Ovis aries: one gene and its partners. The protein of the gene in region 3 interacts with the protein of the main gene of each other region in a pairwise test. Links are inferred from orthologs where the notes say so. Each region holds a gene or a part of one and is shown on either strand. Other genes may lie near its edges.

Region 1 (3,418 bases), on a different chromosome or scaffold from region 3:
AGTCTGGGTCCAAACCCTAAAACTAAGCCTCTCCTCCCAGGAAGCCTTTATGATCCAGGGAAAGCTAATTATCTGCTTTATTTCTGTATTTCCTCCACGGTGCCTGCTTCACAAGGCTATTGTGAGGATTAAAGAGAGAAAATATATGTAAGGGTTTAGTACAAGGCCTCTCTTAGTGCCCACAAAAGACAGCTATTATTTTTTAGAAAATATGGAAAATGTAAGAGGGGCAATTACTCTAAATATCAGCATTTGTTATTTCTATATAATGTGATTATGACCCCTGTTTTGGTTTTTGCACTTCTACTTGTCAAAGCTTTGATATGAACTTGTGAATTCCTTCCTGAAAATAAAACTATGCCCTTTACATATTTATGAGTCATGATGAGTACTGACATCCCCGTCCTATTAGATGAAATAGTTATATCTGTATACTTTGTAATTCCCATTCCAAACCCATAATATTCTGTTAAGAAGATAAAGTACACTTTTTCCATGAATGACTGTATCACAAGAATCTTTAATGTTTAAAGTTTACTCATGGTGAGGTTGTATCTGTGTTTAGTAAAGTGTGCCCACATTGAGTCTGTTTCAGTTCACATCACCAAACTCCACAGGGATGTTTCCCGTGCCCAGGCAGAGCACAAAGACAGGGGTCAACTTTTCTCTTGGTTAGGCCAGCTTTTCTGGGGAGTTTTTCCAAACTCTGCAAGACCAATTTACCCCAATACACAGCCTCCGTCACACGTAAAAGAATATGGAAAATGCCTCAGTGTATTTCATAAGTTTAGCATGTCTCTGGTACAAAAAATTCAAGAAAGGTAGCACAAAAGCGAAAGCACCAACTGAGCTTAATTACAAACAACCATGCATGAATCCTATACACTAATATTACTGAAATGAACACAACATTGCATTAAGAGGTATAAAAGCACTGTATGGAAAACTTAAAAGTTACACGTGAAATACTGCACTGTAGATCCTGAATACTCTAACGTCCCACACTCCCACCCTTCCTCCACCCTGGTGAGGGGCAGAAAACTTCCATCTGCCTCCAGACCTTGCTAGTCCTCGGAGACACTGTTGCGGGGGCAGTGGGCAGTGGGGTGGGCCTCCCGCAGGGCTCTAGCCTCTTCCAGAGCCTCCCTGTAGCGGGAAGGCCAGGCCTGGGGGTTTTTCTTAAAGACCCTGGCCAGGAACTCCATGATCTGCATCTTGGTGATTTCGCGGCTGGCACGGGAGCCCCAGAAGAACTCGTACTCAGGGGGCTCGACATGGGGGACGCGCTGGTACTTCAGGTAGTTCTGCTGGACGAACTCCTCGGTGATAAGCTTTCTCACGTCTCCGAAGGTGGAGTGTTTCTTCCAAGGCCTCAGCCCCAAGATGCGCAGCACGTTCCAGACTGCACTCTCTCGAGCGCCGCGACCCTTCACGTAAATGAGGCTCAGGATCATCAGCAGGAGGCCCGTCATCGGCATGCGGTTGCTCAGAGCGACCCTGTCCAACTCCTCTGGCTCCAGAGCTTTGACCAGCGAAAACTCCATGGTGTGCAGGCTGGTCAGCCTCAGGTGCAGCCCGAACACGCGTGCGAGGATGAGGCTGGTGCGCCGAAGGATGCTTCTGCACCACTTCTTGTAACTGCCGATGACATCCTTCACCATGTCTGGGAACCAGATGATCATCCTCTTCTGGTCCTTGACCAGCACGTACCACATGAGCTCGTGTGCCTTCTGCACCAGCTGGGCCGGGGCCGGGGGCGCCGGGCTGAGCTGACTTGTGCTCGGGGCCTGGTGGGGACGGCCTTCGTCAGCGGCCTGCTGCAGGGCCTTCGGGTCTCCCTCTTCGCCTGGAGCCTGGGAAGGCAGCGAGACCAGAGGGGCATCAGGCGGGCTTAAGGGAGGGCGCTCTGGCTCAGTGAGTGTCGCGGCCTGAGACCCCGGAGGAGAGGGCCCCCCGGTAATGCCGGGGCTGCCGTGCACCTCGGAGTTGGAGGCCTCGGCCGCAAAGTTGGGGTCGCACACATCCTTACTTTGTTCGGACATATCTGTTCGGTCTCGCAAGAGCAGGGCCGCCGAGTCCGAGAGCTCTTCGAGTCTGCTTTCCCTCCGCGGACTCCTGGAGAGGAAGTGCGCATTGCTGCGCGCGGCGCCTTCCGCAGAGGCCAGGCAGGGCGGGGCGGCGGCGGGCCGGGCCAATGCGCCTGCGCGTCCGCGCGCCTGGGGCCCGGCAGTCGAGTTGGCGGGCGGGGCTCCTGGTGGGCTGCAGGAGGGGGCTAGGAGGCCCCCAGTAAGCATAGAGGGTCCGCTAGAATATGGGCCTCAGTGATCACACCCCCTCCCCAGGTATCCTGTTATGGCTAAGGAGGAGTTCTTGAGGAGGAGGGGAGGGAGATGGGTGAGCACTGGACAAGGAGTCAGTTTAAGGGACAGATGGCAATTTAAGCTTCTGAAATGCTGAAACTGAACTTTCTTAGGAAGCATTTGATTAGGTATATCCAAAATCAAGTTAGAGATCAATCCAAGAGTAAGAACTAGGCTGGTGTGTCAACTAGGTTTCAGATCAGTGTGAGAATTTAAACTGAGAGAACAGCCAGGATTGCCCAAGAAAATATGTCAACTCTGAAAAAGAGAAGTCGCTTAGTCATGTCCGACTCTTTGCGATCCCATGGGCGTAGCCTACCAGGCTCCTATGTCCATGGGCTTTTCCAGGCAAAAATATTGGAGTGAGTTGACATTTCCTTCTCCAGGGGATTGAACCCAGGTCTCCCGCGGTGCAGACAGACAGTTTACCCTCTGAGCCACCAGGAGAACTAATTGGACAAATTGGAATTCTGAAGAATAACAACAAAAATTCATTGATTTCCTACCGTATGGAAGAGTTTTGAACAAGAAATGCAGAATGTTGTCAATCCGAGTGTGATCGAAGTTCTCTTGAAGGCAATATAATAATGACTTTGTTAGTGTTTTAATGGTCATTGATTTTGGTTTTTCTATTCCATTGGATAATTTTGATGTAAATTTTGTTTCATTAGAATCCCCTCACACAAAGATTATATTAGCATAGACTCATAGGATGTCTTTCCGCCTGTTTTTCCAGGACCTTCCTTTTCTTTATGACTGTTTCAACCTCCGCTTTTCTTCCTGTGGAAACTTCACCTTCTTAGAGCACAACATCCCCATCTTCCACAGATACTGAATAGTATCACATGCAAATCCCTCCCAAGATACTTTTTTTTTCTTTTTTAAATTAACCTAGATCCCCAAAATTTTCCCAGATAACAATTGATTTGAGATGTAACAATTGGTGGTTGTATATCAGTTTTCAAATTTAGAAACCAAATCTGCAGTTTTGTTTGAGACTGTCAACAAAAACAAAGTTGACAGTCCCAGAGGTGCATCCTTTAAAAAAAAAAATTGGG
Region 2 (3,500 bases), on a different chromosome or scaffold from region 3:
GCTGGGAGAAATATCAATAACCTCAGATATGCAGATGACACCATTCTTATGGCAGAAAGTGAAGAAGAACTAAAGAGCCTCTCGATGAAAATGAAAGAGGAAAGTGAAAAAGTTGGCTTAAAGCTCAGCATTCAGAAAACGAAGATCATGGCATCTGGTCCCATCACTTCATGGGAAACAGATGGGGAAACAGTGTCAGACTTTATTTTTCTGGGCTCCAAAACCACTGCAGATGGTGACTGCAGCCATGAAATTAAAAGACCCTTACTCCTTGGAAGGAAAGTTATGACCAACCTAGATAGCATATTCAAAAGCAGAGATATTACTTTGCCAACAAAGGTCTGTCTAGTCTAGGCTATGTTTTTTCCAGTTGTCATGTTTGGATATAAGAGTTGGACAGTGAAGAAAGTTGAGCACCAAAGAATTGATGCTTTTGAACTGTGGTGTTGGAGAAGACTCTTGAGAGTCCCTTGGACTGCAAGGAGATCCAACCAGTCCATCCTAAAGGAGATCAGTCCTGGGTGTCCATTGGAAGGACTGATGCTGAAGCTGAAACTCCAATACTTTGGCCACCTCATGCGAAGAGTTGACTCATTGGAAAAGACTGTGATGCTGGGAGGGATTGGGGGCAGGAGGAGAAGTGAACGACAGAGGATGAGATGGCTGGATGGCATCACTGACTCGACGCACATGAGTCTGAGTGAACTCCGGGAGATGGTGATGGACAGGGAGGTCTGGTGTGCTGTGATTCATGGGGTCGCAAAGAGTCGGACACGACTGCTGAACTGAACTGAATTGAAGTGAACTGAGCAGTTGAAAAGAACAGAGAAAACCTATATATGCTTCCCAGGTGGCACAGTGGTAAAGAATCTGTCGCCAATGCAGGAGAATCAAGAGATGTGGGTTTGATCCCTGGCCAGGAAGACTCCTGGAGGAGGAAATGGCAACCCATTCCAGGATTCTTGCCTGAAGAATTCCATGGACAGAGGAGCCTGGCAGGCTACAGTCCATGGTGTCACAGCGAGTTGGATGTAACTGAGTGACTAAACACACACACACAAACTGGCATGCATAACTATGGGATAGGTGCAAGACTTCTTCGTGGGACAAGACTTCTTTTCGGGGTAATGGAAATGTTTCAAAGTTGGTTGTGGTGAAAGATGCGCAACTCTATGAATACATCAAAATCTACTAAATTGTATACTTGAAAAGGGCAAATTGTAAGGTTTGTGAATTATTTCTCAATAAAAGCTGTTAAAAAAATATCTATATACACATATATACAGAAACAGAGAGTAGGGTTTGGGGGGAGAAATAGAGCTCAGCAAACTGGACCCAGAGGCCAAATCTAGAACACCACTGGTGTTTATAGATAAAGTTTAACCAGCACACAGCTACATTCATTCCTTCACACTGTATATGACAGCTTTCATGCCACAAAGGCAGAGCTGAGCAGCTAACAACAGAAAAAGAAGGGCTTGCAAAGCCCCAAATATTTACTATCTGGCCTTTTACAGAAAAAGTCTGCCAACCTAACATTTAAAAAATTCTTAAGTTACATATAGCTGAGCAAAAAATAACAGTTGCAGAATTTTAACACAGTCAGTATATAATTTATATTCTAAAACCACAGACAACACAATAAGATGTATTTTCTAGAAGTATGTTAGGAAATGATCTAGAAAAATAGGACCAAACCAAACTTAGAGCCATGAGTTACTTCCAGGCAGGGGTGGGCAGACACGGGTTGGGAGCTGACCAAAGGGGACTTTGGCTTTATTTATAATTTATTTGAAATTGTGTTTTATTTGTTTTAAGGAGACAAGTTCATACATTACCTGAGTAACTGACCTTTCCTTTTTAATTAGTTTGTTAAAAGCAAGGCTGACAGATGCAGAAAGTAACACAACTAGGCAGAATTTGAAAATCTGAGTCTGTTCCTTATTTTGCTGAAGCAGTGTCAGAATTTTAACTATTCTGACTCTACACCCACTTCTTAGTTTTTCCAGATCTTTCTTCTGGCATTCCTCATACAGTACTCCTTCACGGCCTTCCGCACTGACGTTTTCAAGTTTGAAGGCGAATTGAGGCATGAGCAAGGGCCACAGGGAGGGGCATAGGACAGCCACAAAAGAGGCCCAGGCCAGCGAATGGTGGGGTCCTGTCAATGGCCAACTATTTTGGGGACATAATTCTTATTTCAGGGCCACTAAGACATGTGATGATTCCTAGTCTCAGTTTAGCAGTGCCCAGCAGTTAGTCCACGCTCACAGCCTTCATATTCCTATCTTCACATAATTCACAAGACCCTAATGACAGCTGTGCGACTTCTAACATTTTCTGTACTTCAAAATAGTTTCCAAGTTTGACTAGTCAAAAGTACAGCACAGAAATGGAACTAAATGATTGTTAATAAGCAATCCAGGCCCTAGAGTAGTACATAATGAATCCTGAGTTCCAACTAAGCTGCTTTACATCATAATTTATGAAAATAATATTAGTACAAAAAAATATGTTTGTTCATCTTGTACACTTGTACAAGTGTAAATCTAGGAAAATAAATTAAGTGGAAATCTAATACGGAAACAAGTGAGTTTAAGACAATTATTAGTTACTATTAATTATGGGAATGGACAGTTTTTCAAAGCAAGAACATAAAATGGTAAATGTAGCTTCCAACTGCATATAAAATTAGACCTCAGATAATCTTGTAGGATATCTAGAAACTATGTACAATTCTAGAAAAGGCAAGAGCTAAAACAGTAATAAAAGCATCTAAAAATGCTTTTAGAAGAGGTAAATTCAAAAGATAGGGTATCATGAAGGCCATGGTATTTATAGGGGCCTATGGTATCTCTGTCTGCTTGAGCAATTCTCAACAGGGGGAACTTGAGCAATTCTTAGTTGTTGGGACCACAGCCACTTCTGCTTCTGAAACAAAGCAAGTGGACAACCTAAAGAAGGGTTGCTTTTAGTTGAAATAATCTGGGGAAATCTGGCTATATAGAAACTAGAGTTACAAGGGGAAAAAAAGCACATTCATCAAACCAATTTTTTAGACAACCTGGTTTTAAACAAAACAGCATAATTATAACAAAGGAGAGAAGAAGAAGTCGAGTATTAGAAAAAACATATACACATGCACACATTACTTTAAACTAAACAGAATTTCATTTGTTTCTTCTTGGGGAAAAAAGGTTTGCTCCCAGTAAACTCACCTCCATGCTCTAGAAATACTCGAACACATCTTTCCTTTCCTCTTGCTGCAGAGAAATGAAGCAGGGTCCAGCCATTAGCATCTCGGCCATTTGGAGAGTAGCCTTGCTCTAACATCTTCCGCACTGTGTGAACATCCCCGGCAGCCACTGCAGCTTGAATCTGCAACTCTTCCTGGAGTTCAGGGTTCCTTCGACAATGGTGGTGTAACATCCTAGCTGAGTCCACGTTTTTTTACAAAGGATTCATTAGGTCACAGGGATCAGCCTTGAAGGGTAGGCACA
Region 3 (4,214 bases):
CTGCCACCAGCCGCAGCACCTGAGCCCTCAGCTCCTCCAGCTCCGTCTCCGTGAGGCTCAGGCCTCGGTGCTTGCTAACCGACAGGGAGCCTGCGTTGCCGCCTTTCTGCCCTGGATCATCCTCTTCTTCCATCTCTTCTTCCTCCTCCTCCTCCTCTTCCTCCTCGTAGAGAGCTGGGAGTAACACTTCCCCTAGGAGAGACCCCCGCAACATCCCGCCAGCGAGTAAGAGCCAACTTTCTTACACAGTCCTTAGAGGGCCCTCCACCTCACTGTCCTTAGAGGACAGAGATGGTATAATAGTGCCACCTGGTGTCCCCCAAGGAGCCTCTGGGCAGCACCTGCATGCCTGAGGGGCCCTGAGGTGTGAGAGTCAAGTTTGGAGGTATCCATCCCCCTCCCAGGCACTTCCTGGACCAATATTGCCTCTGGGGCCTCCAAGGACTGCCTTCAGGTGGACTGAACAGCCAGGGACTGGCTTGCACAAGGATACCTTGCTTCTTCTATCCTTGTCTCTGGGCACAAGTAGTCAAGAAAGGATTCAGACACTGGGTGTGTCTTTAAGCCAAACAGGGCAAGAATTACAGTTTGGGGGTTTGTACAAAGTTTACAAACGATCCAGGTGGCTTGTGAGAAACTAGCCTTTCCATTATATGAAAGTGTTGCCTGTCAGTAGGCAGAGAAAGAGAACATCTGAATGAAATGATCTAAAGGATTTACTGGACAAACACTGGGGCCCTTCCAAACATATTCCATTGAATAGACTTTTTGAAATTTTCTACCAAGTCCACTTTTCTTTTCCCTGCTGAGTGTCTGGGGGTCTCACTTCCTCCCCTGCTGACCACAAGGCAGTTTTTAGGGGAAAGTCATAGGTTGTACTTGTGTGTAAAAGAAAGCCTGCCATTTTAATGAGTTAAGAAACTGGGGTGTGTTGGTCCCCAGTCTCTGGCTGGCAAGCACCCCCTCCTTTACTGCAATGCAGTTTCTCTAAATAGCAAAACCTTATCTGGATGGCAATTGTTTTAAAATTCTGAGTCTCTGGCCTGGTTTTGTCCAGTAACCACAGCCTAAGATTCATCTGGGACCCCTGGCATCATCTGTCTCCCCGGGGTCAGTGGAGGTGGGGGGGGAAGGGGCAAGATTGACCACACTAGATGTGCACAGGGACCTGGGGACCCTTCACGGGAAGTCCTGGCAACAGGACTGGCACCCTTCTAGCATCCTCCTGGTGTTGGCAACAACTGCCAAGTCGCATGGGTGTTGTGGGAATACACATGTGTTGGGAGGTTGGCCTTTTCAGCAGCCCCCTTCCCAGGCTCCCTCTTTCAGGCAGTAAGATAGCCTAGAGAACCAAAGCCACCAGGCTTCCATTTGAAGTCAGTGGTGGCAGCACCAGAAAGACAGTTCACGTGCTCACTTCCCTGCTTTTCAAAATAAGAGACAGCTTGGGATCTGGGTCGGGAGGCAGAGAGAACAAACCCCCTGCTGAAAGGCTGCTTCAAAGCTCTGTCCAAAGAGGCCTCTTTCTCTGTCTGGCAGCTCCCTCGGGACACACAACCTGGTTAGCTGGTGATTAGAACCCCAAAAGGATGTACCTTGAACTTCCCTCAAAACCTGAGCCCTGAGGAGGGCTAGCGGGTGCTGAGCTGAACTAGGGGGAAGGTGTGTGTCCTGGCTCAGAGTTCTGGAGGGTCAGAGGGAGGAAGGAAAATTGGGTGAGGGAGAAGGAAAGAAAGCTTTACAGGAAAACTCACCCTCCATAGCTTGCATCCCCCGCCGTTCCAAAGACCCCCAGCGTTGGCCCTTCTTCCTCTCACAACCCTCCGACACCTCATAGGAGCCTAAAGTGGTCACTGTGGGTCCTGTGAGCAAGGAGAGAGAGGGATTGTGGGGTGCCAGGGTGGCTGGGGTGAGGCAGGGAGGGGAAGGGACACACCTTCTAGCCCTTCGGAGCCCTGGGGGTTTTTATCCCGGTGGAAGTACTTGGCTCACTCTGCCAGGCACTGCGACTCCTCTCCCCAAGCTGCCCCTTAGGCTGGGCCTCTGGGGACCCCGCCCTGCCCTGCCCATCCTCCTCTGCAACCTCTGTTCCAGGCTCCTCTCCCTCGCACAGGTAGAAAGGGTGTGTGTCTCTTTAGCCCAGAGGGGACAGAGGGGGAAGATGGACAAGGATGGCAGAGGGTGGGAGCAAGTAAAGAGGCTGAAAGGGTGAGGTAGTGCGCCTAAGGGGAAGGTGGGGAGGGGGCCGGCGATGGCTGGCGGGGGTCGTGTGGACCGGACCCCCTCCCCTCCCCTCCATCTCTCCCTAGACTTCGTCCACCCCACCCGCGCCCCGCGCTCAGAAGCTTTAGGGGTGCGAGCGGGTGCAGGATCTATAGAGCCCCTAGGGCTGGAAGCAGTATGAGGCTGGAGAGTCGAGATTGAGAAGGCTCAGGGCAGGGAATGCCAAGGAGGATGCGGCCGGTGTGGGGAAGACCCAGCCGGGAAAGATGGAGACCGGGCCCGGGTGGGGGGCGGGAGGGAGGGAGGAGGAAGACTTCGGCCGTCAAGGTGGGGAGTAGCGGAGGGGGGAGAGGCCGTGGGGGTCTGGGGGGAGGAGAGATGGAGAAGAGGAAGGAGAGGCAGTGGAGAGGTGAAGGAGGGGCGCTCTGACCTGGGCCCGGGCAGCTCCAGCCCGAGGCGCCCGCGCCGGCCCCGGCGCCCGCCTCCATGGCCGCTCTCGCCACCGCCGCTGCCGCTGCCGCCGCCGCCGCCGCCGCCGCCGCCGCCGCCGCCGCGAGGCCGGGTACCGGAGCCGGGTGCGCAGGGGAGGGAGGGCGGGCCGGCCGAGGGGGCGGGGCCTGGCCGGGCCACCTGACACCGCCCCCGCCGCCGCCCGCCCGGAAGCCGGTCGGCCGCCGCAGCTCCCGAGTTCCCCGAGGCCGAGCGAGCGGGAGATGGGAGGAGACCCGCGCGGAGAGTGCGAGCAGCCAGGAGTCGGCTGCGCGAGGAGACCCCCTCTGCTCCGTGTGCCAGGATCCCGTCTAGCTCGGTGATGAGGCAGGAAAACCAAAAGGATGGACGGATCCTCCCGGCTTGTTTCCTGCAAACACGCGGATGCTTTTCCACTCCCCTGGCTCCCTATGGCGCAGGGCGCGCCCCCCAGCTCTGCAGTCGGCGCGGACCCCGGCCACCCGCCCCAGAACTGCGTGAGGGCAGGAGCGGGGAAACTGAGGCCAGGATACGTGAACTCGGGGCCCTGATCCCTCTGTTGTCCGTGCGTGCGCCCCTCACCAAGCCAGAAGCAGGGACCCTCTTAGGAGGGGCGGCTCCGTGGCCCTACACTGTCCTTAGTGTCCGAAGGCCGCCTTTCTCCACCGCTTGCCTTCCCACGAGCCCTACTCCCGGTGGGCTGCGAGAATGACCCCCACTCATCATGCACGCATAGCCTGTTCAGGGTGGGCACTGCTGATTTACAGTTAAAAATGGGAGATGTGAAACTTACGCGGGCTTATTTCACTTAACTTCATCATTCATTCAAGGAACGTCTACCAGGGGCCAGGTCTTGAAGAAACAATTGTTCTCACATCTCTGAAGGTCTTAGCTAGGAAAAATATGGGTACACTTGAGAACTGGGGCGTCCCAGGACATCCAGAAAAGCACTGGGAGATTCCTAAGCCAGGGACACACACCAATCCTTTCTCTCACCCATCCACTCACAAGGTCTTTGGCATATATTGTCTTTGTCACCGCCACAGGCTCCCAGGTTCACGAGCCCTCCATATTCTTCAGGGGAGAACCTTTCTTCACCTGGACATCCCCTACTTACCCTTCAACACTCAGCAGGGAGTCATCCCTAGGCAGCCCTTCCTGATGCCCCCTCCCACCCCATTATACACACCCTCTCCTCCTTTCTCTCTAGGGCATTGCCAGTCACTCAGGGTTGTCAAGGTCAGATTTTCAATTTTCTGTCTGCCCATTTTCTTGAAGACTGGGAGTTAACATGGTCTTCTGTATATCTCTGCTGTTGCTGCGGCTGCTAAGTCACTTCAGTCATGTCCGACTGTGCGACCCCATAGACAGCAGCCCACCAGGCTCCCCCGTCCCTGGGATTCTCAAGGCAAGAACACTGGAGTGGGTTGCCATTTCCTTCTCCAATGCATGAAAGTGAAGAGTGAAAGTGAAGTTGCTCAGTCGTGTCCGACTCTTAGCAACCCCATGGACTACAGCCCACC
Region 4 (3,500 bases), on a different chromosome or scaffold from region 3:
AAATTAAAGGACATATTACAAAAGCTCACTAAGCAGTTACCCTTTAATTCAAAAATAGCATGAAGTTTCAAGCAACTGCTCTTCTTCAAGTGAAAGCAAAGACAGTCTTGTTCACTTCAAAGAAAATATTAGTTTTACCATCAGCATCAACACTAAGTCAGCCTGTTTTCCTTATCTTCCACTTATTCCTTAAACCTTCCCACATCTCTCCATCCCTACCAACACCTACCCCTTTTGACCACAAAGCAAAAGAAAAAAACAAAGTGTCCTACAGAAAAACAGACTAATTATAAGGAAGTCATTCGAGGCCAGAACTACTCCCTCTCTTCTTTAATTATTTTTTAAATTGGAGGATAATTTCTTTACAGTATTGTGATGGTTTCTGCCACACATCAACATGAGCTGGCCATAGGCATACATGTGACCCCTCCTTCCTGAACCCCCCTCCTGCTTCCCTCCCTACACTATCCCTCTAGGTTGTCACAGACACCGCCTTTGGGTTCACTCTCCTGATATTTGTTAACCAGTAGATCCCAGCGGGGGTCAGGAGGGCAGGACATATGAGATGTTCTCCTGCAAAAGCTAGAAATCTGGAATCACAGGCGGTAAGGGCCACACAACTCTTCTCCCTCATCCTCTCTTCCAGCAAGATTTCTACATCTCTTGGCACAGCCTGCCTGTGAAGACCCTAGAGGTACCTGAACAGCATACCTGCAGAGTTAAGAGGTTTCCCACTTATTAGAAAGTAGAAAACATTACAGAAATTTTCAAAAATAATAGAATTTATATTTTTAATAACATTTGCTTAACCACTAAGTTAATTCTATGTTAAAATATTGGCTGTACCATCAATTTTTATTTTAGAATTCAAGTTCATATACCCATTATATATATGCCCACTATCTTAATCAATGATGCTAATAAAATTCCTATTCCTCAAAACAAAAATATGAACGTTTAGGAAGTAATTGTTGTTGTTTAGTCACTAAGTGGTTTCTAACTCTTTTGCGACCCCATAGACTGTAGCCTACCAGTTTCCTCTGTCCATGGGATTTCCTAGGCAAAAACACTGGAGTGGGCTGCCGTTTCCTTCATGGGGTTTTCCTGACCCATGGATTGAACTCACATCTCCTGAATCAGCAGGCTGGTTCTTTACCACTGAGCCACCAGGGAAGCCCTTAGGAATTGGTTACAAACTAGTAAATCCCTAGATATATTATCAATGCAATTAATCAATGACCAGGAAGGCAATCACTTCATATGACTATTTTTATCTTCAAAGTAAAATATGTGTGTAAAATTAAGATCTCTTTCCTGAGTGAAATTTTAAAATTCGGTTAAAAGGAGCTGTTGCTTGTACCTAAAAAGGAAATATGAATCTGTAATTCTAAAATAATCATGATAAATTATAAGTTGTAAGAACATTTGGTGTTCTAATGATTTTAAAGAAGGAAAGATATGCATTTGACAGAAAATTCGAGCAAGGCAGCAAAAAAAAGCAGACTGAGGAACAAAGGCCCCCTTTCAAAACATCATTTCAAGGTGACAACTGGAAAGAGACAATGGCTACTCACCGCACTAATGTTTTGTTGAGTTGTCTTAATTCTCTGAATTTCAGGAGTATCTGCCACAGCAGAATAGCTAGAAAGCATCTTCTCCGCCTCATCTTTATACTTTTTCTAAAAATATAAACTGAATGTGAATCTGAAACTCTGTGTGCCACATTCAAGAGAGACAGAGACAAAGAGAAAATGGTACTACTTTTTCCAACTCTGCCATATCTGAAAGTGAAAGTCCCTCAGTTGTGTCTGACTCTTTGCAACTATACAGTCCATAGAATTCTCCAGGCCAGAATACTGGAGTGGATTGCCTTTCCCTTCTCCGGGGCATCTTCCCAACCTGGGGATCGAACCCAGGTCTCCCGCATTGCAGGTGGATTCTTTACCAGTTGAGCCACCAGGGAAGCCCACATGTTCTAAATTATACCTTAGGATTCAAATCAGTTGTTGATGTGTTTGTGTGTGTGAGCTCAGTCGCTCAGTCTTATCCAACTCTATGATGTATTTATGCAACAGTAAAAATAAACAGCATACGCAAACAGAGTAAGCAAACAGTCTAGGAAAACACATTCACCTTCTCTCAGGCAATGGTTCCCACTCAAGACTATTCAAACACCCTGGGACAGCCTGACCTCTACGGAAGTCCTAAGCCTAGAACCTACTCTCTTATGAGCAGTTCCAGTTCCTGTTCAAAATAGCCCTTACAACTCCTACCAGTAACCTGACTCTCTTTGCTTACTTGTCTTCATGCTTCTAGATTTATACTTTGCTTCCTACTTCAGAAGAAGATACATTTGACTAAGGAAAAGATACTAGTATTTTGTACTAGAGATAAAAATCTCAATTTTCCTTTTGCTACTAAATGTACTATTATGAGCTCAGCTATATCCTAGGCAATGCCTTCTACGAGTGCCAGCATTTACACAGTAGTTCAGTTCAGTTCAGTCACTCAGTTGTGTCCGACTCTTTGCAACCCCATGGACTGTAGCACGCCAGGCCTCCCTGTCTATCACCAACTCCCAGAGTTTACTCAAACTCATGTCTATTGAGTTGGCGATGCCATCCAATCATCTCATTCTCTGTTGTCCCCTTCTCCTCCCACCTTCAATCTTTCCCAGCATTAGGGTGTTTTCAAATGAGTGAACTCTTCATATCAGGTGGCCAAAGCACTGGAGTTTCAGTTTCAGCATCAGTCCTTACAATGAATATTCAGGACTGATTTCCTTTAGGATGGACTGGTTTGATCTCCTTGCAGTCCAAGGGACTCTCAAGAGTCTTCTCCAACACCACAGTTCAAAAGCATCAATTCTTCAGTGCTCAGCTTTCTTCACAGTCCAACTCTCACATCCATACATGACCACTGGAAAAACCATAGCCTTGACTAGACGGACCTTTGTTGGCAAAGTAATGTCTCTGTTTTTCAATATGCTGTCTAGGTTGGTCATAACTTTCCTTCCAAGGAGGAAGCATCTTTTAATTTCGTGGCTGCAGTCACCATCTGCAGTGATTTTGGAGCCCCAAAATAAAGTATGTCACTGTTTCCACTGTTTCCCCATCTATTTGCCATGAAGTGATGGGACCAGATGCCATGATCTTAGTTTTCTGAATGTTGAGTTTTAAGGCAACTTTTTCACTCTCCTCTTTCATTTTCATCAAGAGGCTCTTTAGTTCTTCTTCACTTTCTGCCATAAGGGTTGTGTCATCTGCATATTTGAGGTTATTGATATTTCTCCCAGCAAACTTGATTCCAGCTTGTGCTTCATCCAGCCTGACGTTTCTCCTGATGTACTCTGCATAGAAGTTAAATAAGCAGGGTGACAATATACAGCTGTGACATACTCCTTTCCCAATTTGGAACCAGCCTGTTGTTCCACGTCCAGTTCTAACTGTTGCTTCCTGAACTTCATACAGATTTCTCCGGAGGCAGGTCAGATGGTCTGG
Region 5 (3,500 bases), on a different chromosome or scaffold from region 3:
ATATATTATACATATATATATTTATTTATACCTAAAATTTTAAGCAATACTTCATGCTACTTGCTTTTAATAAAAAGCATTCCGATCGTAACACTGAAAGTGTGCCTAGGACATGCTTCACAACCAAATGGAGATGCTCAATTGTTATATGATGTACGAGAAAAAGAACACTTTGGATTCATTTAAAATTTGTTGGACTTCGAAACCCCCAACAGTATTTGCCACTATTTTGGAACTACCTCCATTTTTCTTCAACAGCAATAAAGCGAAACAGGGTGGCAGGACCTCAGCCCTCCAGAGCTGCTGGCCGAGGCGGGGACCACTTGTGAAGCGCCAGGCCAGTGCGAGCCGGCCTCCGGCCCCACCGGCCACAGGGAGCGGTCCCACCGACTCCTGCTGTTTATTTTTCTTAAGGCATTGTTCCTCGGACTTCGGAAAACCCAGCCACAAAAATCCATCAGAGCAATAAAAAAAAAAGGCACAAACGCGCATCTTCCGTCGGCTTTGAGAAACCAAAGCCGCACGGGCTCACATTTCTGCTTTTGTCCAGTTTTTTTTTTTTCCTTAAACGCTCGCCCGCTCCGTGTCCCAGCCCCACCGCGCACCCGCGGTGCGCAGGGGCAGGCCAGCGCCGGAGCGGCTGACTCTTCTCTGAAAAGAAATAAGCTACAGAATGAGTTGAGTGGTTTACACGGAGACTGTGGGATTGTGGGGAATCACCAAACCGTAAGCACCAGTTTTAATCAAGTTTGTTTTGTGTCGTGAGATCTTTGATTTTCATTTTCTTTTCCTCGGGTCGGCTCGCTCGGCAGGCGGCTCTGCCCCGAGCCCCCGCGGGCTCCCTCCCTCCGCGGCTGCCCTGCGGGGCCCGGAGCGCCCGCTCCCGCACGTCCGTGTGTCGGCGCGTCCCGACGTCTGCCCGGGTCCGGCAGGCAGAGGGCCGCCGGCTGCGGCTCGCCCCGCCGCGCCCGCGGGCTCGGAGGAGGCCGGCAGGACGCAGGGCGGCAGCAACTTTTCTCGGCGGAGCTTCAAGACGGAGACAGACAAACAAGAGACCCGCAGCTGCGGGAGCGGCTACAGAGGCGGCTCCTCTTCCATGGGCTCCTCGTCGGGTCTGCTGGGGCGGGCGGGCGGGCGGGGTGGCAACAGAGGAGAGGGTGGATGTGCAAGGTTCCTAGCTATCTCTGCCCCCCAACTCCGAGGCATCCCCGCCCCCAACCCCGAGCCACCTCCACCCCCATCTCCTAGCTACCCCGCCCCGACTCCTAGCCACCCCCGCCCCCTCAACTCTCAGCGACCCCCACTCTTCCCCTAGGGAAGTGTTCCTTCTGGCCCAGACGCCCTTCAAGTCTTTCTCAGGCTCTTGCTTCTGGGAAGAGGTGTGGTGCAGTCTGCCCTGGGGCGAGGGTGAGGCCCTGCTGAGCTCACCCACTCCCCGCCCTGCTGAGCTAGCACGTGCCCCCAATACACCCGGGAGCAAAGACCCGGGTCACCCGCAGATGGCGGCAGCACCCACCGCCGGCCAGTGTCCGTGCTCACCTCTTCTCAGGGGCCTTCACGGCCACAGACAGCGAGGCCATGGCAGTGACAGTCTCGGCTTCCTCGTTCTCACACTTCTGGGCCTCGACCAGGGAGTAGCCAGCGGTGGAGGCGAGCCTCTGCAGGGAGCGCCAGTACTGGCCTGCGGAAGGGGCGGGTGACTGCTCAGATACGGGACCCCATCCCTGTGCTTGGGCCCACGGGGCTCCAGCAGCACCCATCGCTGGTGACTCCAAAGCACCACGCTCTCCAGAGACAGAAGCCACGAGGTGGCCTGGTTAGAAACTCACAGAGGGTGGCAGTCTGGAAAAGCTTCCCCGTGACCAGGAGAACTGGGCCCTTCAGGGGCAGGACACCTGGGTGGGGGTGGGCTCCAGGGAGGGTCCCTCCCTCAGGGTGGGGCGGCTGGGACGAGCACTCCCTGACTCCCTGCTGGAGTCCCGAGATGATGGGGGTGGGAGCAGGCAGCCTCCCGGTGTCTCCTGGGCCTCAGGGCTCCTCATTCAGGAGGCCAGGAGCTCAGTGCACAGCAGGAGACCCTGGGTCCCGCCCATGGACACGGACACTGGCGACTGGGCCACCCCGCAGACCCAGGATAAAGGCGGGGCAGAAGTCCGTGTGCAGCCCCTGGGCTCCTGGGCCCCATCGCTCGAGGGGCAGGGCTGGTCTTTGGGCCAAGGGTACCCTGAACTGATGGAGTGGGGTTTGCTGGTCCAAGGGCAGAGGCCAGACCCGAGGACACAGGCTTCCATGCGGGTCCCAGCCTGTCAGTGGGGAGCCTGGAGAAGGGACCTCACACACCCCCTGAACCACAGCGCTTCTGCCCCACAAAGCAGAGCTGGTGACTTGGCTGTGGCAGGTTGTTGGGACGTCAAGCGGGGTGAGAGGAGAGTCACCAGCTCATCACATTCGCCCTGAAAGCCAGGTCTCAACAGGCGGGCCTGGGGACGCTGCTGGCAGTGAGAGAGAAGCAGGGGGTGGGGGCGGTATGGGGGGTGGGAGAAGGGCTGTGGAGTCGGGCCCCTCCCTTGGGGGGGGTCTCCTTGCTGAGCCCTGGGCCAGGCAACTTACTGTGGATTTCAATGACCTTCTCCATCGACCGCACGGCGTTGGCGTTGGGTCTCTGCTGTAAGACCTTTTCTGGGAGAGGATCGAGCTGGGGATGAAAGAAGAATACACGGTGAGTTCGAGGCCATCAGTAGAGTCCCTGTGCATGTTTGGATGGGACGTCTGGATCATAGAATCCCCGTGCGTGTTCAGATGGGACGTCCGGATCATAGAATCCCCGTGCGTGTTCAGATGGGACGTCCAGATCAGTGTCTTCCTCACGTGCACGTGCTAACAGAGAAGACAGCTTGAAAAAGCCAGAGGTGGTTGTGGCATTACATAAATGTTTTCACAGAAGTAAACTTATTTTCCTTAAGGTGTTTCCCCTAGGAGGCTCTCGGGTACGTTCGTGGGTGCCCGTGTGGGCAGGACACTAGCTGGTGTCCAGAGGCAGCTGGCGCAGAGGGGTGGCAGCATGGGCTCCACCGCTGGATGCACGGCACAGCGTCAGGGGAAGGGATGATGACTTTTCGGAAACATCAGTTTCATCACACTTGTCAACAAGGGTTTTATAGACAGGGCTTGAATATCCCCACTTTGGGCCTCCCTGGTGGCTCAGCGGTAAAGAATCCGCCTGCCAAGCAGCAGATGTGGGTTTGATCCCTGGGTCAGGAAGATCCCTTGAAGGAGGAAATGGCAACCCAGTCCAGTATTCTTGCCTGGGAAATCCCATGGACAGAGAGGCCTGGCGGGTTATGGTCCAGGGCGTCACAAAGAGTCAGACACAACTGAGCGACAAGCACATCTGCCCTTCAGGGTTTTCTTCCAATGATCAGAGAAAAGGTAGACAGAGGGTGTGAGCATCTCTGCTCCGAGCTCTCCCTGAAGTCCCTGCCGCAGGTGGAGTGGGGAGG
Region 6 (4,183 bases), on a different chromosome or scaffold from region 3:
TACATGTAAATAAAAATACTTCTCATAAACATACTTTTGAGGTTCATTCTTAGTATTTTTACTTATCTATAATGTATTATAAGAAGAGCTATGACCTATCATTTTTTATCAGAAAAACTGTTAGCAGTAACTTTTCTGCAGAAAAGAGGAAATTTTTCTATAATGTGCTATTGTTTGCTTAGCTGGTGAGCAGATTTGAAATGGATTTTCTCTGTTTCTTACTGCCTTTCAAAAGGTGTATTTCTGACTTGCATTTGAGAATTACCATAAATTGTTACAAGCTTTGAAAACATATGGTTTATATATAGAACTGTAAAAAGGTTCAAAAACCAGCCCTTTTCCCTTTTAGCTCATCCTTCCCCTTTCCTATGGTCAAAGCAGAAATATAGGTCTAAAATGTCCAATTGACTGATAGGGCTAAAGCTCTCGGCTGTTTATTCAGATGTCGGGACAAAACTGTATGGCTAACAATGTAAGGTTAATCCAAATGGTCTCGCATATATTTTAGAAATACGGATAAAAGCAACAAATAATTCCCATTGTGCTTTACTGTCAATGCAGAATACCTGTAATATGGATTGGATAGTAGCAGGAAAGAGTATGTGAATAGATTATAAGACCAATGAGGCAATTTTAAGAATGTGTTTCATCATAGTTCAGTATAAATAGCATAATTCTTCAGAATTACGTGATTTTTTTTTTTTGGTATGTGGATTATGAGAACTTTGATAATTGAATACAATTTCAAAAGGGCTCAAGTCGGTGACCTCAAAACGAGGTTCACAGAACAATACACAATGATGAAGCCAGAAGCAATAAAACACTGAAGAACGGAGACGTAAGCATACTGGTAGGACATGACTGAATGTTCACTTATTTTGCTTTGGAGTTTTCCTGGGTTGTCTTCAGACACCTTCCCTTTGTATCTGACAGTGTATCGCCAAGAGTGTTAAGGGGAGAACCCAACAGTCTAGGGGATCCCGACAAAGCTTAGCACACAGCTCACGTAACGTCACGGCGTACTTCCTTCTGAATACGGGAGTTATCCCTCCGAAATGGAAGGAAATGTACACTTGAGAGTCCCTCTGAATGACTGGAGTTCAAAAATGCTCAGTTCCTTCGCCTTTGTCCTTCTCTCCCTGGGTTTGGAGGCCACCTGTCCCGCAGGTCATACCTGCCGTTCTCACTGCGCGGCTCACCGGCTCGGGACCCGAGCCTGAGGAAGAGGAGACTCGCGCGCGCGGCCGCGAGCGGGCGGGGGCGGGGGCGGGAGACGCGGAGGGGCGGGGCCGACGCGCGCGAGCGAGGTGTGCGCGCCGCCGCCGCCGCGTCACCAGCGTGCGGCACGTGCCCGTGTTTACGTCCCTCGTGGAGCCGCTACGTCAGCAGCCGAATGGCAACATTGTGGCGATACTGAGGCTCCGCGCTCAGGAGACGCGTCCCTTCGTCAGGCCAGCTCCAGGCTGTCGGGAAGAAGAGGAGGAGGGGCACGGAGATCCGCCAGGGCGAGCGGCGGAGGCTCGCAAGCTCAGGGCCCCGACCACCCACCCGCCCGGCCGGCCCCGCGCCACCCGCGCCTCACCTCCGGGGCGCCGCAGACTCAGCCCGGCGGCCTCGCTCGGGGGGCGGCCCGGGCGGGCGCGGGGCTTGTAAACAGACCCAGCCGCACGTGACCATGTGAACTACCTGCTCCGGGGACGCGCATTGTCTTTCCCGCGAGCCGTGCCACAAAGGAGCGCGACGAGTCCGAGGACGGAGAGACAGGCGAGCGAGCGGGGAGAGCCGGCCGGCGCGCTAAGATGGCTGAAGGCGCCCGGCGAGGGTGAGTGGGGGGCGCGGCGCAGCCAGCCGGCGAGTCCTCCCGCGGGCAGGGCCAGCGGCGCCTTCCCCGCGGCCTGGCGCCGGAGCCACCATGTCGTTCGCGCTGGAGGAGACGGTCGAGTCGGACTGGGTAGCCGTGCGGCCCCACGTATTCGACGAGCGTGAGAAGCACAAGTTCGTCTTCATCGTAGCCTGGAACGAGATTGAGGGCAAGTTTGCCATAACCTGCCACAACCGGACGGCCCAGAGGCAGAGGAGCGGCACCCGGGATCAGGCGGGGGCGCGAGGCGGTGCCGAGTCAGGCGCGCTCGCATCCGACGGGACTCGCGGGCCGGGCAGCCCGGCGGGCAAGGGTCGGTCCGAGGCCACTGCCTCCGCGACTCTGGGCAGGAGCCCCGGGTCCCGGAGGCGCCCAGCCTGGCCAGAGGGCAGCTCTCCGCGGAGCGCATGCAGCCTTCGAGGGGACCCGTCGCTGCGGAGTCCGGCCGGCAAAGGGGCGGAGAGTCCTCTCCGGAGCCCGGTGAGGGCCAACCACAGCCCGGTCCGGAGGGCCTCCGGAGGCAGAGATGTGGCGGGGTCCGCCGCTGCGGCAGCCCCTCCGGCGGCCAAGGAGGCCCCGATGTCGGTGCGGGTAGTGAGCGCCTGCGGGACGGTCACCGAGGAGATCGAGGTGCTGGAAGTGGTGAGGGAAGATGAGGCGGACCCGGCGGCGCCGGCGCTCTCGGCCGCGGAGCAGCCACCGCCGGCCGCCGAACTGGAGTCTCCGGCCGAGGAGTGCAGCTGGGCCGGGCTCTTCTCCTTCCAGGATCTGCGCGCCGTGCACCAGCAGCTGTGCTCCGTGAACTCGCAGCTGGAGCCGTGCCTGCCGGTGTTTCCGGAGGAGCCGTCGGGCATGTGGACGGTGCTGTTCGGGGGCGCCCCGGAGATGTCCGAGCAGGAGATCGACACGCTGTGTTACCAGCTCCAGGTTTACCTGGGCCACGGCCTGGACACCTGCGGCTGGAAGATCCTGTCCCAGGTGCTGTTCACCGAGACCGACGACCCGGAGGAGTATTACGAAAGCCTGAGCGAGCTGCGGCAGAAGGGCTACGAAGAAGTGCTCCAGCGGGCCAGGAAGCGCATCCAGGAGGTAAGGACCCGGTCTAGGCTCCACGCATCGCTTTTGGCTCCACGCTGCCGCAGACTGGAGCCTCGGTCTAGGTTGTGCGCATTTGGGACTCTTGTTTTCCTAGCCAAACAACGGTACAGGAGGGGGCCCTGACCTTTCTCCCCCTTCATTCCTCTCAGAAGTGGGAAAAACCATGGCTTTCTTTAATTTGGCCTCTGAAGGAACTTGGGTAAACCTTTAGATATCTCCTCCTACTTATATAAGTTCTAGAAAATGCTCTGTTTACTACTAAGTAATGGTAGAAAGATTAAAGCCACTCAGAAGAAAGATGTCCCATAAATATAAGCTAAGTGAGTGATTCTCTTTGTTCCTAAAGTTCTTTCCAGCAATAATTGCCCGGATCATTAAACTTACTTTCCTGGTGTCATGTTCGTTTATTGAAAATGATTTGTCTTGTGAAGTAAAACTGGTCCGTTTTTTTGTCTCCAAATGTAATTTGGCAACTTTGGCAAATTTTAAATAATTTTTCTTCGGATGAGAGGCCTGTCCAAATAAAAAGCCCCTATTGACAGTTGGATACATACCTTAGGAATATCTCAAGCCTTTTAAGGAGGGCTGATGTTTCCCTTGTTTTAGGGAGGAAAAAGGTCTTGGATAGAAATGTTTATTATACTTTTGCACTTGACTAAAAGTAGTCCAGGCGCTTATTTTCAAACGAATCCTTAAAATTCCAGGAAATAATGGGAAAAGGTCTGAATGGTTATACATAGAGAGCTCTACGATGTGTAGGATGTATAATTGGAGGTCATGCGTACTTAAGAGCCTCTGCCGGAAAACTACTAAAAAAAGTATTCTCGGTCTCAAAATTATTATTTTTAGTATTAGTACCAATTGAGGTTGGAGTTGGGTTGGGGAAATGCCTCCTTTTGACGTGCTTATATTCTTTGCCTGTGTTTACATACTACTGGAATCTTGGGAGTATGTGCCAGGAAGCAGGAACCTCCTGATTTCTTCATAGAATATTCTCTATTTGGGATTTAGGAAGTAATTCTTCCTCACTTACTCCACAGTGCTTTCTTAAAACCTGGTGACTCCAGGTTTTCACTTCGTCCTGTTAGATAACTTGATGCTAAACATCACCCATCATGATGTGATCCCATAGTTCTAGGGATCTCTTTTTATTTCCCTTTTTATCATCTCACTTCTGGAGTCTTTGTTCTATTAATACCTTCAATCATTTTTGGAAGGAAGTGA
Region 7 (4,217 bases), on a different chromosome or scaffold from region 3:
CTATTGTGGCTACCAAACTGTTGAAATGTGACCAGTCCCAATCAGGATGAGCTGTAAGGGTAAAATACCCGGTGGGTTTTGAATATAGTATCAGAAAAAGAATGTAAAGTATCTTAATAATTGCTTTATATTTATTATATATTGACTTAATACGTTATATATTTAAATCATGTTAAATAAAAAAGATTAATTTCATCAGTTTTTACTTTTTGAAATGTGATTATTTAAATTGTTAAAATATATATGTGGCTTGCAATACTTTTCTATTGGACAGTGCTACTCTAGAGTATTGGTCCCCTGAGAGCAGGGTAGGAAAAGGATGATATTAATTTACCCCCGAACTAACACTTCGCTGAACATCCTTGACGGAACCAGCCTAAAGCTGATCACAAGCGATCCTGGGAAGAGGGGTGTCGCTTGTACCTTCACTTCTAAAGGAAGGAGGGAGGGAATGGGTGTATCCTTTACCTCTGGGGCAATAAGAATTCTCACTAGATCCAGATGTATCTGAAAGTCTGTAGCTAATAAAAGATATTTGCAAAGCAGGGCGATTAAAAATGGCAGAAAAGGGCGGGCATCTTGTGTCTTTTGAGAAGATTTACTATTTAAGGAGAACTCCAAGAAATAATACCTTCAAAAGCTTCATCATCTGATGTAAAATAAATTTCATGATTGCAATTCAGTCAGATTTGAGAAGTGGGCTGTGGTGGGGTAGGAAGAGGGTCAAAAATTGCAATGTAATCTCCAGGAGAGAAGAAACTTGGTCAAGTTTATTCTTGTCTTAGCGCCTAGAACAGTGCTCGCCACACAGCAGGCGCTTTTTAAATATTTGAACGAGTTAAGATGCAAAATTAGGTGGATGAGACGGTGTGTTTTTCGCGGGAGGAGGCCTTTGGCTTTTGTCCAGTGTCAAAGGAGTCTAGGCCGCCAAGGGGTTAACAACCACTTAATACCGACAGGGACGTGAAATTTATTTGAAATCAATGTCAAGAATTGGTTGATCTTATTCTGGGGAGAAGGCAGACCTCGGCGTCTGGAATGATCTACGTGCTTAAAAATACCACTCGCCACCATTTTCTCCAGGTAATTTTCCATCCCTGCCCCCACAGTCAAGGAGGGGGGGGGGCGAAAAAGTAATTCCGCAATCCTACCTAGCTTTAGAGAAAAAAAAAAAAAAAGAAAAAATGAATCGGTACAGCAACAAATCTCCAGGCATCGCCAGCGCAGCAGAAGAAGGGGACCCAGGTGGGCCTCGGGCACTGCCGGGACCCCAGCCCCCCAAACTTTGCCAAGTTGCGGGCGCCGAGTGCGCCCGGAGGCGCGGGGCGCGGCCGCGGGCGGCACCGCCCCCTGACGCCCGGCCGCGGCGCGCCGGGCCGCCCCCTCCCGGCCCCGGCCGGCCCCGCTGGCTCCGCTCAAAGTTTGCGGCCGCCCCTGCGCCCGCGCGCCCGCCCGATGTATGGGTGATATACTGCAGCGGGTGTCAGGGTGAGGGACGGCCATATTTGCCGGTGCGGCCCGAGCCGTCAACAACAAAAAGTGCGCGGGAGCTCGGCGGGCGCACGGACGGGCGCACGGACGCCAGGACCGCCTCGCCGCCGCCGGGTCTCGCCGCCGCCGCCGCCCTCGCGGGCCGGGCCCCGCTGCGCCCCGGCGCGCCCCGCCGCTCGGGGGGATGTCTTACAAACCGAACTTGACCGCGCACATGCCTGCCGCCTCCCTCAACGCCGGTGAGTGAGTGCGCCTCGCGGGCTGCGCGCGCCGCGCCCCAAGTGCAGCCAAGTTGGGGGCTCGCGCGCCCGGCCCCGGCCCCGGCTCCCGGGAGCCCGCGGCGGCCGGGGTCGGCGGGCACCGGGTCCCGGCCCGGGGCAGCGCGGCCGCCGCCGCCATGATTCCGGCGCGCGCGCTGCCAAAGTTCGCGGGTGCGACCCGCGCCGCGCCGGGCCTCGGGTCGGGCCGGGGCTGGGGCCCGGGTCGCGGGCGGCCGCCGCGGTCCCCCCCACGCCGGCGGCCCCGGCTTGTGGGGAGCGCGGCGAGCGAGGGCGGGGGAGGCTTTCTCGGCTCCTTTTTCCTCCGGCTTTTGGGCGGCTCGGCGAGGGCCCCTGCCGGCGGGAATCGGGAGCGGCCCGGTCGCGCCGGGAGCGGGGCGCCGGGAGCGGGGCGCCGGGAGCGGGGCGCGGGTCCGCCCTTGGGGACCTGAGGGGCAGGCCCGGGCGGGGGGTCCGGGAGGCAGGGGTGCACGTGAGCAAGGCCGGGCCACGCGCAGGCGGCGCTGCGGGGCGGCGAGAGCGCCAGGTTGCAGCCGCTCCCGAGGGCGCGGGGCCGCTGGGGTCACCGGCGGTGCAGGGGAGGTGGTCTGTGGACGCCCGCCCGGCCTGGCGTGGGGGAGCAGGTGCCCAAAACGGGGCGCACGGGAGGTCCCCTCAGGCGTGCGCGAAGTGAGAGAAGTTGAAGAAGACCGGGGGCTTCGGAGTTGCCTGCAGGCGGAGGGCGGGGGAGGCATTGAGCCGGGGTCCCGGCTTGGAGCCCCCAAGTCTAGGTTTAGAGGGGCCTCCTCCAGGAGCAGTGCTCTCCGTGTGCTGGGGCTGAAGCTGGGCGGTCCCAGAAAACTCCTGCATAAGTTGTCCGGAAGCTTTAGGCTGAGTCTGGGGGTCTTGCCTCAGAGACCGGGGCGGGGGCGGGGTGTGTGTGTGGCAAGGGGGCACGCGGGATGTGTGTGGCTGGTGGTAAAATTTTGTGGGGTTCGTAGGTGACTGACTGCCCCCTCTCACCGAGGTTCTCCTTTAGACTCTTGGTGGGAAACTTCCAAAAAAGCGAGGTGCATGGGGGTAGGGGTGGAGGCAGGGGCTTGGCAGGAAGGAAATGGGCCTCCCTGGTCAGAAGTGCCACGCTGGCAGTTGGCCGAAAGTTTTGGGCCTTGTCTTCTAATGTTAACTCGATAACTCCAAAATCTGAAGGGCGCCCCAGAAAAGCACTAAGTGTATGTCCATGTACGTATATACCTATACGTAGGTGTATATATGTGTGTGTGTGTTTAACTTCTTGGACAGAGATTTGGGGATTGGAAAGGGTTAAGATTCAGGGTGTGGATGGCTGTGGGGGTAGATAGTTTAGTTGGTCAAGTGTGGGCTCTGTCTGAGCCCCAAGAGCAAACGGCCCCTATTTTCAGCTGAAATGTTCTCATCTCTCGGGTCTGCACACCTTAAGAGGCAGGCTTTGTGGCCAATGTTTCTCACTGCCTCCCTCATCTGACTCTGGGGTGGGATGGGTGGAGGGTCTTGCCGCCGGCCCAGGTGGGCAGGAAGTCTCAGGTTCCCCTGGTGCAGTTGAGGCAGGGACCCTGAACCTGGCCCTTTGGGGACTGGGGTCCCAGAGGGAGCAAGCCACCCGCTTAGGCACCCTGAAGCCCTGCTCTGGGCTGGCTAGCACCTGTGCCCAGATTGTCTTCCTTCTCCTGTGGTGAACTCCAGGAGGAGCGCTGAGGTCTCCAGATCTCTGGTGTTCGGGTGAGGGGCCACCTGCCCCCTGCCCTGAGCGTGGACCCCTTTAGAAAGCCCGCATCTCCCTGAGCCATTTGCATCCAAGATGGACTCTCCACTGCCGCTCCTCCGGCTTCCTTGTCATCATCCCTCACGCCCTCCAGCCCTGCCTCCTGCTCGCGAGTTGCCAAGCCGCGGCCTGGCCGGCGGTGGCAGTGGCGGAGTTAGACAAAGCCCCCGCCTCCCCGCCAGAGAGCCCCCCCAGGCGCCCCAAGTGGCGGGAAGGCCGCCAGCTCCCCAGGCCCGGGCCGCTCTTTGTCTGGCGTGGGGGCGGGGAGCCGCGCCTGGCCCCAGGAGCTGCTGGCCTTTGCCAATCCCTCCCTCGGCTCAGGGCCCTCCCTGGTCCCCGCACACTGCGCGCATTGTCTGCGATGCTCTGAGACGACCGTGCTCACGCCCTGTCTGGTTTTCTCCTTGGCCTTGGGCAGCTGGACCGCCGGCCCTCCCTGTGTCTGCAGGAAGCTGTGGGCATGAGTGGAACTTGGGGTCCCTGCGCCAACTCTTCCCAGGGCCACAGGCACCCCCCTCTGAACACTGAGCAAAGGACTGGCTCAGAGTCGGGTCGACTACCACATCACCCAGGTGACAGGCAAATCAAGCTCTGGGCTCTTGCCTGACTTCTCCACACTGCTTCCACGCCTGCAACCCATTCCTTCTCCCTCTCTCAGGAACTAACCC

The links.
Region 1: the proteins of CCDC136 (region 3) and NDN interact in a two-hybrid assay, tested with the Homo sapiens proteins (2 studies listed by BioGRID). The link is inferred for Ovis aries from reciprocal best matches to the Homo sapiens genes CCDC136 and NDN.
Region 2: the proteins of CCDC136 (region 3) and ASB7 interact in binary tests that used the Homo sapiens proteins (3 or more experiments, as listed by UniProt). The two-hybrid records come from large-scale screens. The link is inferred for Ovis aries from reciprocal best matches to the Homo sapiens genes CCDC136 and ASB7.
Region 4: the proteins of CCDC136 (region 3) and NEBL interact in a two-hybrid assay, tested with the Homo sapiens proteins (2 studies listed by BioGRID and IntAct). The two-hybrid records come from large-scale screens. The link is inferred for Ovis aries from reciprocal best matches to the Homo sapiens genes CCDC136 and NEBL.
Region 5: the proteins of CCDC136 (region 3) and HDAC4 interact in binary tests that used the Homo sapiens proteins (3 or more experiments, as listed by UniProt). The two-hybrid records come from large-scale screens. The link is inferred for Ovis aries from reciprocal best matches to the Homo sapiens genes CCDC136 and HDAC4.
Region 6: the proteins of CCDC136 (region 3) and JMY interact in binary tests that used the Homo sapiens proteins (3 or more experiments, as listed by UniProt). The two-hybrid records come from large-scale screens. The link is inferred for Ovis aries from reciprocal best matches to the Homo sapiens genes CCDC136 and JMY.
Region 7: the proteins of CCDC136 (region 3) and CDK2AP1 interact in binary tests that used the Homo sapiens proteins (3 or more experiments, as listed by UniProt). The two-hybrid records come from large-scale screens. The link is inferred for Ovis aries from reciprocal best matches to the Homo sapiens genes CCDC136 and CDK2AP1.

Annotation. Positions count from the first base shown.
Region 1 is NC_056071.1:620,230-623,647, forward strand, and holds NDN (necdin), read right to left. Parts: upstream 2,131-3,418; 5' UTR 2,043-2,130; coding exon 1,065-2,042; 3' UTR 501-1,064; downstream 1-500. UniProt on the Homo sapiens protein: Growth suppressor that facilitates the entry of the cell into cell cycle arrest.
Region 2 is NC_056071.1:5,418,636-5,422,135, forward strand, and holds part of ASB7 (ankyrin repeat and SOCS box protein 7), read right to left. Parts: intron 3,484-3,500; 5' UTR 3,430-3,483; coding exon 3,219-3,429; intron 1-3,218. UniProt on the Homo sapiens protein: Probable substrate-recognition component of a SCF-like ECS (Elongin-Cullin-SOCS-box protein) E3 ubiquitin-protein ligase complex which mediates the ubiquitination and subsequent proteasomal degradation of target proteins.
Region 3 is NC_056057.1:94,459,344-94,463,557, reverse strand, and holds the start of CCDC136 (coiled-coil domain-containing protein 136), read right to left. Parts: upstream 2,801-4,214; 5' UTR 2,712-2,800; coding exon 2,654-2,711; intron 1,863-2,653; coding exon 1,755-1,862; intron 193-1,754; coding exon 1-192. UniProt on the Homo sapiens protein: May play a role in acrosome formation in spermatogenesis and in fertilization.
Region 4 is NC_056066.1:21,528,872-21,532,371, forward strand, and holds part of NEBL (nebulette), read right to left. Parts: intron 1,680-3,500; coding exon 1,575-1,679; intron 1-1,574. UniProt on the Homo sapiens protein: Binds to actin and plays an important role in the assembly of the Z-disk. May functionally link sarcomeric actin to the desmin intermediate filaments in the heart muscle sarcomeres.
Region 5 is NC_056054.1:2,403,851-2,407,350, reverse strand, and holds part of HDAC4 (histone deacetylase 4), read right to left. Parts: intron 2,696-3,500; coding exon 2,611-2,695; intron 1,682-2,610; coding exon 1,540-1,681; intron 1,118-1,539; coding exon 1,075-1,117; 3' UTR 1-1,074. UniProt on the Homo sapiens protein: Responsible for the deacetylation of lysine residues on the N-terminal part of the core histones (H2A, H2B, H3 and H4).
Region 6 is NC_056060.1:10,270,318-10,274,500, forward strand, and holds the start of JMY (junction-mediating and -regulatory protein), read left to right. Parts: upstream 1-1,383; 5' UTR 1,384-1,912; coding exon 1,913-2,950; intron 2,951-4,183. UniProt on the Homo sapiens protein: Acts both as a nuclear p53/TP53-cofactor and a cytoplasmic regulator of actin dynamics depending on conditions. In nucleus, acts as a cofactor that increases p53/TP53 response via its interaction with p300/EP300.
Region 7 is NC_056070.1:52,346,569-52,350,785, forward strand, and holds the start of CDK2AP1 (cyclin-dependent kinase 2-associated protein 1), read left to right. Parts: upstream 1-1,417; 5' UTR 1,418-1,675; coding exon 1,676-1,730; intron 1,731-4,217. UniProt on the Homo sapiens protein: Inhibitor of cyclin-dependent kinase CDK2. Also acts as a component of the histone deacetylase NuRD complex which participates in the remodeling of chromatin.